Caenorhabditis elegans: one gene and its partner. The protein of the gene in region 1 purifies or fractionates together with the protein of each later gene. This does not show direct contact. Each region holds a gene or a part of one and is shown in the gene's direction. Other genes may lie near its edges.

Region 1 (6,634 bases):
AATTTCCCCTTTGGGAATGAAATCCCGCTAACGTCATCAAAAAAAAAGGAGTTGGGTCTCTTCTATTTCAAAAGTGTCGTCCTAGAAGTTCTATCTTACCTTTGAAGGTCCGCAAAGACACCAGAATTGCTGAAAAGCAAGGATTCCAAGGTTTGAGTATTCATCAGATAATAATATTAACGCTCACCAAGCAATACTAATAAGAGTGGCTGTTATGGACAAAAAAGAAGGATGATAGTGGCTATCAATTCCGAGGGTGGGTTGTTAGGCAACGAGCCCGAGTACGGCTAATTGAAGCAAAGTCAAAAGAGAATATACAACTGTTGAGTTTGAGGATAGACGGAAAATATTATGAGCGAAGAGATATTTAGCTTGTGATAGCTAGTATACAGCTATTGTCATAGATTCGTTAGAATGACTAAAACTTTAGCCAATAGTGCATTGAGAATGAGGAGGCTTTCAAACATAATAATGAGGTATGAATCACCTTAAAGATACACATTTTGGTATTCAGGAATATGGTATCAAAATGTTTTTAGAAAATAGACAGGTTTAGAAAAGATGCTTACAAGGTGTATTTTTGTGATTTAGGGGGCTCATTCCTAGTTAAGAAATAGTTGTATATCTATGTAGTTGTATATTATAATTTCCAGATTATTTAACCCATTGAATGATATGTTTAGTATGAAGTATGCTTGGAAATAATATTAACCTAAGCTCAAAAATTGAACAAATTTCTTTGTAATGGTTATTAATGAATAACCTAGATATGATGGCATATAATACACAAACACCTAATCCTACAGGGTGGTCCATAATTATGGACTTGTTTTTGAAATTGTGTACCAAACGTAATAAATTTGAATTAACTTCTAGTAGAACCTCTTCGACTTTTACTAAGACAAATTTAATTAAGGAGTTACGTCTGAACGGTATCAAACCCAAAAATAAATAAATTTTATTTTAACAACTTCCAGTATTCCGGAGCCTCAGATCAGTACAGCTCCCATACCAGATTCTCTTTATTTATTTATTAAGATTCTGCTCAATTTTCCAGCATCAAGTTTTTCAAGGCAGCCTAAAAAGCCATGTAAAACAACTTACGGTTGAATGTGAAGATTTAATACAGGATTATAAGGTTCATCATAGAAGTTCATCTGGCCAGCTCTTAGCGGAGCTGTCAAACTCATGCCACAGTTTTCGGATCAAGTGGGAGGCAACAACACCAGCTACACAACCGACTCTGCAAAAGATTAATCTCTTATATGTCACAAGCGGTTTGGGTCCGACGGCCTCCCGTCCAAGTACGCCTGATAGATGCAACAAGGAGAGGAATAACGGAGCGAGTGTGAGGATTGAGCCAGCTGACTGTGAATTATGGTTATGGAGATATGCCTGATTAGCCGGAAGGCACGGCGCGAAACTTTGAAAATCTCTACAGCAAAAAAATGGGGGGGCAGCTGGGGGAAGATTGTTCGCACCCCTTTCACGTTCAAGCCTGGTGTGGTGGCTCACCAAAAATATTACAGAAAATAGTTGTATGACACACAGAAAAGTCAAGTGAAGGATTTCATCAATCATCCTAGAAAGCATAGCATACCACGCCTTGGTCCTCTTTTGTGCATACTTCTTCACAATCTTCAACAATTGAGACGTGAGAGGTCAGACAGACAACACTGAAGAAGGCAACACAAAAAAAACGGAAGAAGCACAAAAAAATAAAGAGATGGGAGAGGATGAGAGGATAGCGAAGAAAATTGATGGAGATTCGTGTGTCCTATTGCAGATTACGGTATCTGGAATCAAGAATGTAGAGTGTTTGGCTATTTGTGACCATCTTCTTTTAGGAACAAGCCAGGAGCCAGCATTTGAAGTCGTGCAAGTGAAGTGTAATATTGCTCATAGTTATCAACTTGGCGAAGTTATCACAATTGCTTTGATAAAACATTTATATACACAGAATATTGTTCTCAAGTCGGTATTTTTCTTTTCACTAAAGCAACGATGTTTCAGATCTACCGTAGTTGCTAAGATGTTTCCAGGTGTGAGTGAGTGCGCAAAGTTCGTTTTCAGGGATGCTGGAATTATCAAAAATATTTATCATGGTGTTGAATTGAAGCTGAAATATTATTATATAAGTTGTGTTATATTGGGTTTTATTTTATTTGTAGTTTCGGAACGCGAGGTCTTGTAGCCACTTGAATGCATAAGGTTTTTCTGCAATTAAAGTAGGTATTCAGTTGTGTTGTTCCAACTTCAAAAAAAAGTTGCACTGTTGTAAACTGGACCCCATAATTATGAACCACCCCGTTTGTATAAAGAATATTGTTTATGCACGTGGTGCCAGGCTGTCCCATCACGGTTTGATCTACAAAAAATGCGGGAATTTTTCTCCCAAAAAAAAATGTGACGTCAGCACATTTTTAACCATGAGAAATCAGTTGAGAACTCTGCGTCTCTTCTCCCGCATTTTTTGTAGATCTACGCAGATCAAACCGAAATAAGACACTCTGACACCACGTGTTTGTACAGTTTTCCAGTATTTGCAGTTTGTAATACAAATATTAAATACAATAACATAGCTTTAGATTTGTTGCATTCATTTGAAATTTTTTCTGATAATGGTGGGGAAATTAATTCTTCCCTTTTAAAAATGCTTGACAGAAATATTTTAATACACAGCTTCAATCGGCAGACTAAACTTAAAGAGCAGGTTTACGACAGCGTTGTTTTTTTTTTCTCGTCCTTCTATTTTTCGACATCGGAACGTCTTGTACCATCCAGCACTTATTTCACAATGTCAACTCACTTTACATATCAACGCTCACGAAACAAAATTTTACGACTGAAACGCTGAAACGACTGAACTGTGTGCTTGTAAAATTTCCTTTCATTATTCTATAAAAGCGATGCTCGGGCACTGATAGTGATTGCCATCATCATTTGTGCAATACGAATGGCGGCGCATCAAATTTTACTCCTTTGTTTGTTACTACTATTAGCGCCGTTGCGGAATGGACAAACCACGCCGACCACGAGAGCCCAGGCCGATTTGGTTAATCAACTGCCAGGGACTATTTTTCAGGTAATAATACATTTTATATTTTTGTTTTTTGAAAATATGTATGCAGAATTATTTTATTCCAAATTTCTGTGTTTTTAGGTAAAATTTAAACAACTAAAAAAGTTCGCAGGTTGATTAAACACATTACCTTTTAGGTGAACTTCAAACAGTATGCGGGTTACCTCAACTCTGATCCCAACAAAAACTACAACAATCTTCACTATTGGTAAGTTCAAGATATTAATCTAAACATTTTATTATCTGGATACTGAACCTTGACTACCAAACAAAATAAAACAATTTCAGGTTAATCGAATCTCAACTGACCCCTTCCAATGATACGCTCCTTCTTTGGATTAATGGAGGTCCGGGATGTAGTTCAGTTTTCGGGCAGATCCAGGAAATCGGCCCATTCCATGTGTCTAGTGATAGTCAGACGGTGTATGAAAATGTGTTTGCTTGGAACAAGGTGTCCAATTTGCTTGCCATCGACGGTCCGGGCGCCGGCTTCTCATGGCAACAAAATCTCTTTCAAGACGACAGCTACGTAACTGGTGCTCTTCTTAACGCTCTCATGGATTTCTATACGGTGTATCCAAATATGCTAAACTCTGATCTCTACATTGCTGGTGAAGGATACGGATCTTTCTTTGCTTCGTCGTTGGTAGAATCTCTGATGGTGAATAACACTCCAAGACCGGACATTGTTACCTCTCCAGTTAATATTCGAGTGAGTTATCTACAAAAGTTGTTGCAACACTATCAGATACATTAAAACAAATTTTATGAGTTTCTATTTATTCTTATCATAGTTCAATTCTGAAGTTTGCTGGGAAATTTTAAAAATGAAATTTTTGAAAAATTCAGGGACTTCTTCTTGCAAATGGTGACTTGAGTGCTCGCCTCCAATACAACAGTCTCATCCCATTCTACTACACTCATGGATTTGCCGGATCAAAGTTGGACCTATTTTTCTATCATTTATCATTTTGAATTTATTTTCAGACAATATGACGATCTCAAATCAGTTTGTTGCACAAATGCTTCCACCCAAACTTGCGATTTTTTCAACAGTAACACAGCATGCAGAACCAAAGCTGACAACGCAATTGCCACTTGGTCAAATTATCAGTACGTGGTTTTTGATCGTTTTTAATTTGGAATGCACACTTGATTTTATCACTTGTGAAATTGGGAATGGAAAGTCATCAAAATGAGGGGAAAGTGCTATGGTCACAAAATATTAGAGAACAAAGACCAGATTGCAACAACGCAACAATTTAAAATTTTAGAGCCAATAAGATAGTACTTACAAGAAGGGGGTGTTCTGAAATCAATGTAAATTAAATTCATTTTAGCCTTTAGTTTGATATTATCGATTTACTTGATCACACAGCTACAACTAGAAATGAACTTTTGATTTTTAGAAATGAACTTTTGATACAATTGATTCTATAAATTTACTGACCATCTATTTGAACACATGTTCAAGCTTTTAGTCATTTCCATACTTGAACATTCTGTATCAATTTGGTTTCAGAATTGACAACACAAACATCAACGAAGACTGCTACAGAAACCAAGCTGCATGGCAAACATCCTTCAAACAACTTGGAATTAATGTATTGAACATAACGCTTAACGCTTGACATTAGGAAGTAACTTTCAGGCAGCTGTAGATAACTACAACTCAACGGACTCATTCAGAGGATATCCATGCTTTGCACTTTCAGCCACCGCCGCTTATTTAAACAGACAAGATGTTCAAGCTGCACTTCATGTTAGTGTGAATGCAAGTACAAACTTCCAGACTTGCAGGTGAGCAGTTTGCATACTATGTAGTACTTAACAATAATATGATCAGAAATCTGACATACGGAGAACTCTCAACGGATTTGCAAATCCGAATTTCCTCAATTCTAACATCCGAGAAGTATGCTCAAAATAACATGAAAATCATGATCTACAATGGAGATCTGGATCTCTGGAGCAACTTTATTGGTGCTCAAAGATTTGGACAAGAAATTGCGGCAGCTCTCAAGTTGAACACAACCGAGGATCGCATTTGGAGACATAACTATGATTCGGCAGCATTTGTGTGGATGGATGGTGGAGTTATTACTAGTTACTCGAGCAATTTTCATATCGCATCCATTAGAGTAAGTTTATAGTTTCAGCAAATTCGAGAATTACATAATACAACTTTCAAGAATATCTAGTTGAAATTTTCGAACTTTTGATAAATTGATACAAGATTCTTTATCGATATCATATCGTATACTTCTATGATACTTTTTCAATACCTTTAAAGTTTTTCAAAAATTTTCCTTATTGCGTCAGCGAATGCAATTTCCCATTATTACAGGGTGGCGGTCACTTCGCACCACAAAACCGTCCGTCACAATCGCTACAACTATATCGCGACTTCGTCTTAGGACTGTTTTTCAACAATTGCCTCAGCCGAGTTAACAAAGTCGCCGCGCCATTGCTGCCCGCTTATCAACAACTTGCCGCGCCAGCTACTCGTCGTGATGCTGATAAGGTGAGTGTAGCTTTTGGCAAAAAGAATCACACTTTGAATGTAGTGTGCTCATGATCTATTTTGGAATTTGGCCTATTGATCTCTAATTTCTTTTTTTTTCAGATTGTGAATCTACCAGGACTCACATACCAAATCAATTTCAATCAATACTCGGGATACTTGAACGCTTCAGACACCCACCGTTTCCACTATTGGTTCGTAGAATCTCAGAATGACCCCACCAACAGCCCAGTGCTGCTCTGGTTGAATGGTGGACCTGGAAGTTCTTCCCTATGGGGAATGCTCACAGAAAACGGACCATTCCGTCCGAATAAAGACGGGCAAACATTGTATGAGAATGTTCACTCCTGGAATAAAGTACGATAATTTAAAAAAAAAGGACAAAGCAGAGACATGATTTAATTTCAGTTTGCCAATGTTCTCTACCTCGAGAGTCCACACCAAGTAGGATACTCATACTCAACGGTTGCTAACGATTACACTTATGGAGATGACTTGACTGCTTCGGACAACTATAACGCTCTCAAAGACTTTTTCAACAACATCTTCCCACAATACAAGCAAAATCCATTTTACATCACCGGAGAGTCATATGGTGGAGTATACATTCCAACCCTGTCGAAGCTCCTTCTGCAGATGCTCAGTGCCGGAGAAATTAACATAAACTTTAAGGCAAGGCTGATTTTCATAGTTGGAGCGAGAATTTTATTTATTTCTTTGTCAGTGTTTGCCCATGTTCAAAATTTCAGGGAATCGCCATCGGTAATGGAGAATTGACTACCAAGCTGCAAGTGAACTCTGCTATCTTCCAACTCTACACATATGGACTTTTCGGAGAAAAGTAGATTCTTCGACTTTTCATAACTTAAACTCAAATTTAAATTTTAGTGAATACAACGCTCTTGTTGCAAGATGTTGCAAGAATGTGACTGACCCAACTCAATGTGATTTCTACACCCCATACGTCTTCTTCGACTATCTTGGCAACTACAAAGCAGTTGACGGAGCTGATCCATTCTGTTCTTCCA
Region 2 (6,634 bases), on another chromosome or scaffold:
AGTATACCGATAGAACACGTAGAATGTTCGTATAAATTAGTGTTAGATTGCCGTTAAAAAGTGAGACTCAGAATTAAAGTTTAAAATATGTATTAGGAGTGTATTTATTTTGGGAGTTTAATTAATTTACAAATTAAAATTTTTTTCATAATTTGTATTTTGCATCGGTCATTTGTACCAACCCAATTTCCATCTAGATACAGTTATTATATCCAAAGTCGCTTCAGAGTACGCTTACAGCACTTTTCTAGAAGTGTAGTATTTACATAGGTTCCCTAAACTTGGAAAGTGAATTCAAGAACCCAGAAAGACCATCAATATCATTCAAAAGCCGGCATTGACCAATGTTAGCTGAACATTCGCTGCGCGAAAATACTGAGGCTCTGAACCAAAACTTCAACCAATACGCCAAAAGGACCGACGCAATTTAGTTTAAAATATAAGTGTAGCCGTATTCAAGGAGTTATTAAATACTTTCACTCTACTAATTGATTTAGTTTTACAAAATCTCCAATTTGAATTTAAATTTGCAATTAAATTTTAACTGTAAACGTTCTTTACCCACACCAATACAATACCGGGTTTTTCTGCTTTTCCAAACCTTTGCCACTTGTTTCACAATGCGCTTAAACTCCACTTTAGGGCAAGAGCGTGTATAATTTACAGATAGCCGCACCCATTTTTTTCAGTTTCAGGTTTCAATTCAAAAATCAAACAAGAAAAGTGATGATTTATGGCAAAAGAACAGTATACTACAATTGCCGCCGGAACTTATCATCTTATCTGAAAAAATTGTATTGGGTCATAATACAAATTACCACGTTTTCACTGCGTCTTTTCTTCTATCTAATGTTTTTTTTAAATAATGAAATATGATAGTTTTGATCGATATTATAAACAATCACATCACCACTTTCACTTTCTCGCCCAAATTTATTGATAATCAATCATGATGATTTTTCAAAAAACTCTCAAAATTTATTTTTTCTTATTCTTTTTCCCCACCTTTTTGACATTTTCATTGGCAATTAACTGTTATGCTGGTAAGTTATGAGTTCCACGTTTTCCTTTTTCATGATATATGGTCTGTGATAAGAAGACACGAAACAAGAAGCACCCATACACCTTTTGATAAGATATTAATTGGCAGGTAGCAGAGGATACATCAACGGAAAACATATTCAAAACTTTTTCAATGAGACTTGTGATGATGGAATGAAGTACTGTGTGGAATCTTATAGTGAAGATTTTGATACGGTCACCGCGAGTTGTCAGACGTTGAGTACAAGCAGAAGAATCCTGAATTTGTGCGAGGTATTCAAAGGCCCTTAGATTTTAACTAAAACCATTGAAAATAGTTTAAAACTGTCAAAGCGACCGTAATGAAACCCACTGAAATAAGTTTTATCGCATTTTGCTAAACATAAGCTTTGGAATTTTCAAATTTGGATCCAAGTGAGATTAATTTATGAAGTGATCACCAACCTTGCGTGCGATTTTAAACAAAATTCAAGAAGTTTTAATATAAAAACGTGATTTTCTATAGTCATTTGACTAGTTTGATCAATTTTCCCACTGGCTTTGCAACGCCTTTACCTATTCTAATAATCCAAACTATTATTACAATTCTGAACCTTATTTTGCACCTAACGAAGTACGTTTTGTTTGCAGAGTCTGCATGAAAAGGTTCAGAGTAACAGGATTTTCTGATTTATGCACATTTTCTTTGTATCTTTGCAGAATTTTCATTTACTTATTTTTTTTAGCAAAATAGCAAAATTAAATTTACGAGCTACACTCTACTTTGTTAAAAAATTGTTTTAGGATATTTGAATAACAATCCTGGTGATATAAATTTTCCAGTAACATGTGAAAACACTTTTTCAAGCATATAATTTGTAATCTGATCAGAAAAAATATTTTCTAGACCACCGTGATATTCACGTGCACATACACCACGAAGAAAGCTTGTTTGTGTTCCATTGAATAATTATGAAATAATTCGCAAAACAATTATTGCGTGCAACCTTCTATTAGTGCATTTTGTTTGATTTAACGTGCCAGGTACTCGGGGCAGCCTTATCAAATCTATTTCCAGCAAAACTTTCATCATTTCCAGCTGACTTCATTAAAATTACCACTTCCGAAAGTTGTAAGAACTTTTGATAGGGTTTCAAAAGACTTATGTGACGCATTTTTCAATACTGGTAGATTAGGCAAAGTAGTAAAGGGGATTGGCTATTAGAGTCTTTGAGCACAGATCACAAGTAGGTTACGCACTGAGGCTACACGTGTCAAACTAGATTTAAACTCAATAAAAGGGGGTTCTTGAACAAAATTCAAATGAATTGATTTTGCTTCTACTTTTACAGTTTTTTAAATATTTGTTATCTTCTGAACAATCTCCATTTCTGATCTGTAAGATCAAAGGATTTATCTATTTTGCAAAAAAAAAATTACATATTCGCCGAACTTTGAGCTTGTATAATACAGAAAACAAAACTGTTTCCTTATGAATTTTTTGAACCATGTTAAATTAATTGACTAAAGTTCAGTAGAGAAATAAGATTATTTTTATTTTTCAGGGTGATCGAGTTTCCACAAACATCGGAGTGACAACGAGATGCTGTTCGGAAAACATGTGTAACGATGTTGGAATTGAGAAAAGGACCAAGAAAGATTCAAGTGCAGGGAAACAAAAAATTGAACATTAAATTCAATGAGCGTTTTTTAAGTTGAAAACAAAGTTCGAAAACCGTATTTCTTCTATTAGTATGGCTGTGACTAATTCTCAAAGGGGCAAACTTCAGGACTGCAATGGCAAATATCAATATTAATATCAAGATTTTCCTGTGTTTCCGATTACTACTTTTCATTTACTTACTGTTAAAATTTCAAGTAGAATCAAAAATTTCAAGATTCAAAAAAAAAGATGATAATTGCTACAAGAAATAACAATAATTCCAATTTTTATCATTCGTGAGGTGGTTTTCTGACAAAAAAAATGAAGGCAGAGAAAAATACATACAGATTGACTGAAAATCAAAAATTCCGGAATCCGGATCTTTGGCAATCCGTAAATCAAAATGCAATGTAATCAATAATGCATTTTTCAAATATCCAACTTTCGTTTTATTTCTCCAAAAAAATTTAATAATAAGAATTGAATACACATTCGATAGCGCCCCATTTAATTTATGATTGTACTTTATATTTTTGAGGACCCAAATAACCAATAAAAGTTTCAAAATGAATAAATTCATTGATAAGCTAATGGGCGAGTACAGGCTAATAAAAACTGCAGTTTCCGATAAGCGATGCATGCCATCGAGTTGCCGATTTTGACTTCAGTTCGGTCGTCAGAGACCAAACCAAAATGGCGCCTGCTACAAAGGCCATTGGATTGCTACTGGTTATTATAGGATTGGGTAATTTTTTTAATGTTTTTCAGTTTAAAAAATACCGTATTTTTCTTATTAACGTTGAATTTTCGTTTCCCCATTTGACAGCTCCTTGTTCAAATTTGGTTCTGATTTAAAAAAAAATTAAATTTATGTTGAATCGGTTCCAATGTAGAAAGTGAATTATAAAAATAAATAAATAAAGAGTTATAATAACTGTAATTTTTATCCAAGTATTCCAAACAAATTAATTTTTCATAGACAAAGTTTGTCTGAATTTCAAATTTCAAAACGCAGAAACTTATTTATTGGTTTTCAAAAAAATTTGATCACCATTTACAGCCGCTGGTGTTCAATATGAAATTCGTGGTAACATTGATCTCATCAACAGTTACGATATCCATCCGGACTATTACAATGAAAAATCATTCACGGAAAAGTTGAACAAAGTTTCGGAACGGGTGAGTGACGGTGCATTACACGAATTTATTTTTCAAAAAATTATTTTCAGTTTTCACAAGTTGTTGGACCAGATTTCAAAGAGTTTTTTGTTCATGATTACAAGTGAGTACTGGAAATATTTAAAGAAGATGTATTCTGAATGAGGGAATTGCTGAAAAGTTTAGTTGAAGAAATTTACAATTTCTTTTGATTCTATAGCATCTTTTGGAACTGGAACTTTTTTATTTTTAATTTCACCATTTCATATATCTTTATTCAAATACAAATATGAAAAATACAGAAAATTTCGAAGAAGTTGTTTTATTAATTAACTTGAAGTAGTTTATAAACTGAAACAAATTTAGTTTTTGCAATATTTTGTTCAAATATAACATTTTATTGAGAAAATTTAAAATATTAAAATAAATCTGATACATTGAAAATTTCTTTATTTACATTTTGGTCCATTTTTCACACATTTCTATACACACACAATAATAAGATAATGTTTCCACAGTTATAATTTAAAAACAAGCAACTCATTTCCCTCTACCGATCAAAAAATTTCAAAAAATCATTCATAAATCCAGAATTCACGGTCAAGACACCGCAGTCTTCCATGCTCGTCTAACACTTGTCTCATCTCTAACAGTTTCCCGACAAGACATCATTGACCAAATCGTGGCGACGGACGACGTGCAAATATATTTCTTGCGAAAAAATGGTATGGTTGAACTCTATCATTGTGCCCCGTTTGTTCATTAATCAAATTCCGCCTTTCATCAATGTTAATTTTATCTACACTTGGTGGTGGAAACTGTAAAATATGTATTCTTCAAAGCGCAAGGTCGTAAATTTTGTGTTGCGTCAGAATGTGCAGTACACTTATTATTAACACCTAACATCAATTTCAGAATTTGAAGTACAAGGGGACAGTGTTTCGAGATTCAGAGTAGTTCGTGCTGACGTGAGCAATTGCTTGCATGGAGGTATTTTATTGCCAAATGCTACCTGTTCTTGCTTACCATACTATTCTGGAGCTAACTGTGAAGTGGTGACGTATGTTTTTATATTTGAATGTTTTAAATATAAATTTTATTTTCAGTTGCCGCAACAATGGTATTGGATCAAGTGGAAGATGTTCATGTCCTCCTGGATTGTATTCTGCTCATTGTGAAGCAAGTATGCTTTCAAAATCAATTTAAAAAATCAATTTCTGAAAATCAAAGTTTTCAGGAACTTGTGTCACCAAGATTGACTCCGTCGTTGACTTCTCGTCTCAGTCACTCATTATTGCTATCAACACTAGAACATCGATGGCATACGATTTGAGCATGATCATTGAAAATATTCCAACATTGGTGACGGATTACCAAAGTCAAGGAGTCATTCTTTCGAGCTTCATCGTCACCGTCTACAGATATACAAGTTAGTTTTAAACATAGTTTTGGTTGAAAACTTCAAATCTCAGAATCCGTATACTTCATGGAAACGAGTGCCTTCACAACATCCGATGCTATGATTGATTACCTTCACAGTGTGACCATTGCTCCATCATCTGATGATCAACCTCTTCTTGACGCTATTGCTAACTCTCAATCCACGTGGGTTTTAGATATTTTCAATAACTGGAGATCTTCAATCAACTTAAATGATATAAAATAAATGTTTTCAGCCAGCCAACAATGAGACCAAAATCAACTGTTTATGTTTTTGCTGATTCTGAGAACTTATTGGATCCAACTCCCTCAACGCTTCTCAGTAGCACAAATGAAAGCATGGTCATCCAGCAGACTCTTGCCTGGAGAAATAAGGTCATTTAAAGCTACAAACTCGTATACTTTTTCCATTTCAGATTATCTTTGTTCTCTCCCAAACGACATCAAGCCCAATTGAGCCAACTGGAAACCACTTCGATGTGCTCCGCAGAGTCGCTACGGCTGCTCATGGAGACATTTTGATGATTGATAAAACGGAAATTGTCGAAGTGAGATCATTTCTTATAACTCTAGATCAAAGTTACTCAATTCTCAGGTTCTCACTCATCTTCTTTTCTACACAATTGGTGGACAGAATACATATGTGCAATACTACAATAATGTTGCCAAAAATATTCCAGTGCAGTCGGATACACCAACACAAACAACATATATTATGATGACAGTTGAGAATGGAGAATCACGTTAGTCAAAAAATGGAATCTGCAAAATTGATGTTTTTTTTTTCAGTTCCAAATATTCAAGACACCAATGGTAACACATTGAAGCCCACATCCTCTGGACGAAGATTTGCTGTGAGCCTGAGTTAAACTATCACCTATCACATAATAAAAATAGGTTTTCAGGTTTATCGTGTATTCCAAAGTTCAACCACATCAGTTACCATCACAGGAGACACAATTCCACTTCATAATACTCGTGTGTGGTTCACTTCAATGGACGATGTTCTTGTGTCATACTCTGAAGATGATACTGTTGATAACAATTATGCTCACACATTCAATGGATATTATCAACGGCCATCTCTATATTCTTCGTTTGCTACAACTACAAGTCTCTCAGTTTCAACCGCTAATTCTGTCACTTCCGGTGTGATTTCTGCTGCTGTTACAGCGACAGCAAAAGCAACATCATGCATCTTCCAGTACCAAATCGCAAATGCTACTTCGTGTACTCCAGGTCCATATGTTCATAATGTGGTTGTGTCTGCTTCCGATGGAAACAAGTACCGTGCAGTTCCAGGATATTGCTTCACGCCAGGTATGTAGTCTATTTCATTTTTCCGATCAAATA

Evidence for each region.
Region 2: the proteins of Y16B4A.2 (region 1) and R09H10.5 fractionate together in Caenorhabditis elegans (co-fractionation; one large-scale study listed by BioGRID). This does not show direct contact.

What each region holds. Positions count from the first base shown.
Region 1 is NC_003284.9:14,768,147-14,774,780, reverse strand, and holds the start of Y16B4A.2 (Carboxypeptidase), read left to right. Parts: upstream 1-2,929; 5' UTR 2,930-2,956; coding exon 2,957-3,085; intron 3,086-3,219; coding exon 3,220-3,290; intron 3,291-3,370; coding exon 3,371-3,794; intron 3,795-3,931; coding exon 3,932-4,023; intron 4,024-4,069; coding exon 4,070-4,195; intron 4,196-4,604; coding exon 4,605-4,686; intron 4,687-4,733; coding exon 4,734-4,882; intron 4,883-4,928; coding exon 4,929-5,223; intron 5,224-5,429; coding exon 5,430-5,606; intron 5,607-5,708; coding exon 5,709-5,963; intron 5,964-6,014; coding exon 6,015-6,278; intron 6,279-6,355; coding exon 6,356-6,447; intron 6,448-6,494; coding exon 6,495-6,634. Other genes in the region: Transcription factor unc-3, read right to left, coding at 1,105-1,190.
Region 2 is NC_003282.8:10,625,557-10,632,190, reverse strand, and holds the start of R09H10.5 (EGF-like domain-containing protein), read left to right. Parts: upstream 1-3,361; 5' UTR 3,362-3,376; coding exon 3,377-3,428; intron 3,429-3,743; coding exon 3,744-3,862; intron 3,863-3,912; coding exon 3,913-3,965; intron 3,966-4,432; coding exon 4,433-4,566; intron 4,567-4,756; coding exon 4,757-4,901; intron 4,902-4,947; coding exon 4,948-5,024; intron 5,025-5,078; coding exon 5,079-5,270; intron 5,271-5,313; coding exon 5,314-5,446; intron 5,447-5,517; coding exon 5,518-5,656; intron 5,657-5,697; coding exon 5,698-5,829; intron 5,830-5,876; coding exon 5,877-6,024; intron 6,025-6,070; coding exon 6,071-6,135; intron 6,136-6,186; coding exon 6,187-6,601; intron 6,602-6,634. Other genes in the region: F56C4.4 (Activin_recp domain-containing protein), read left to right, coding at 950-1,043, 1,151-1,314, 2,586-2,714.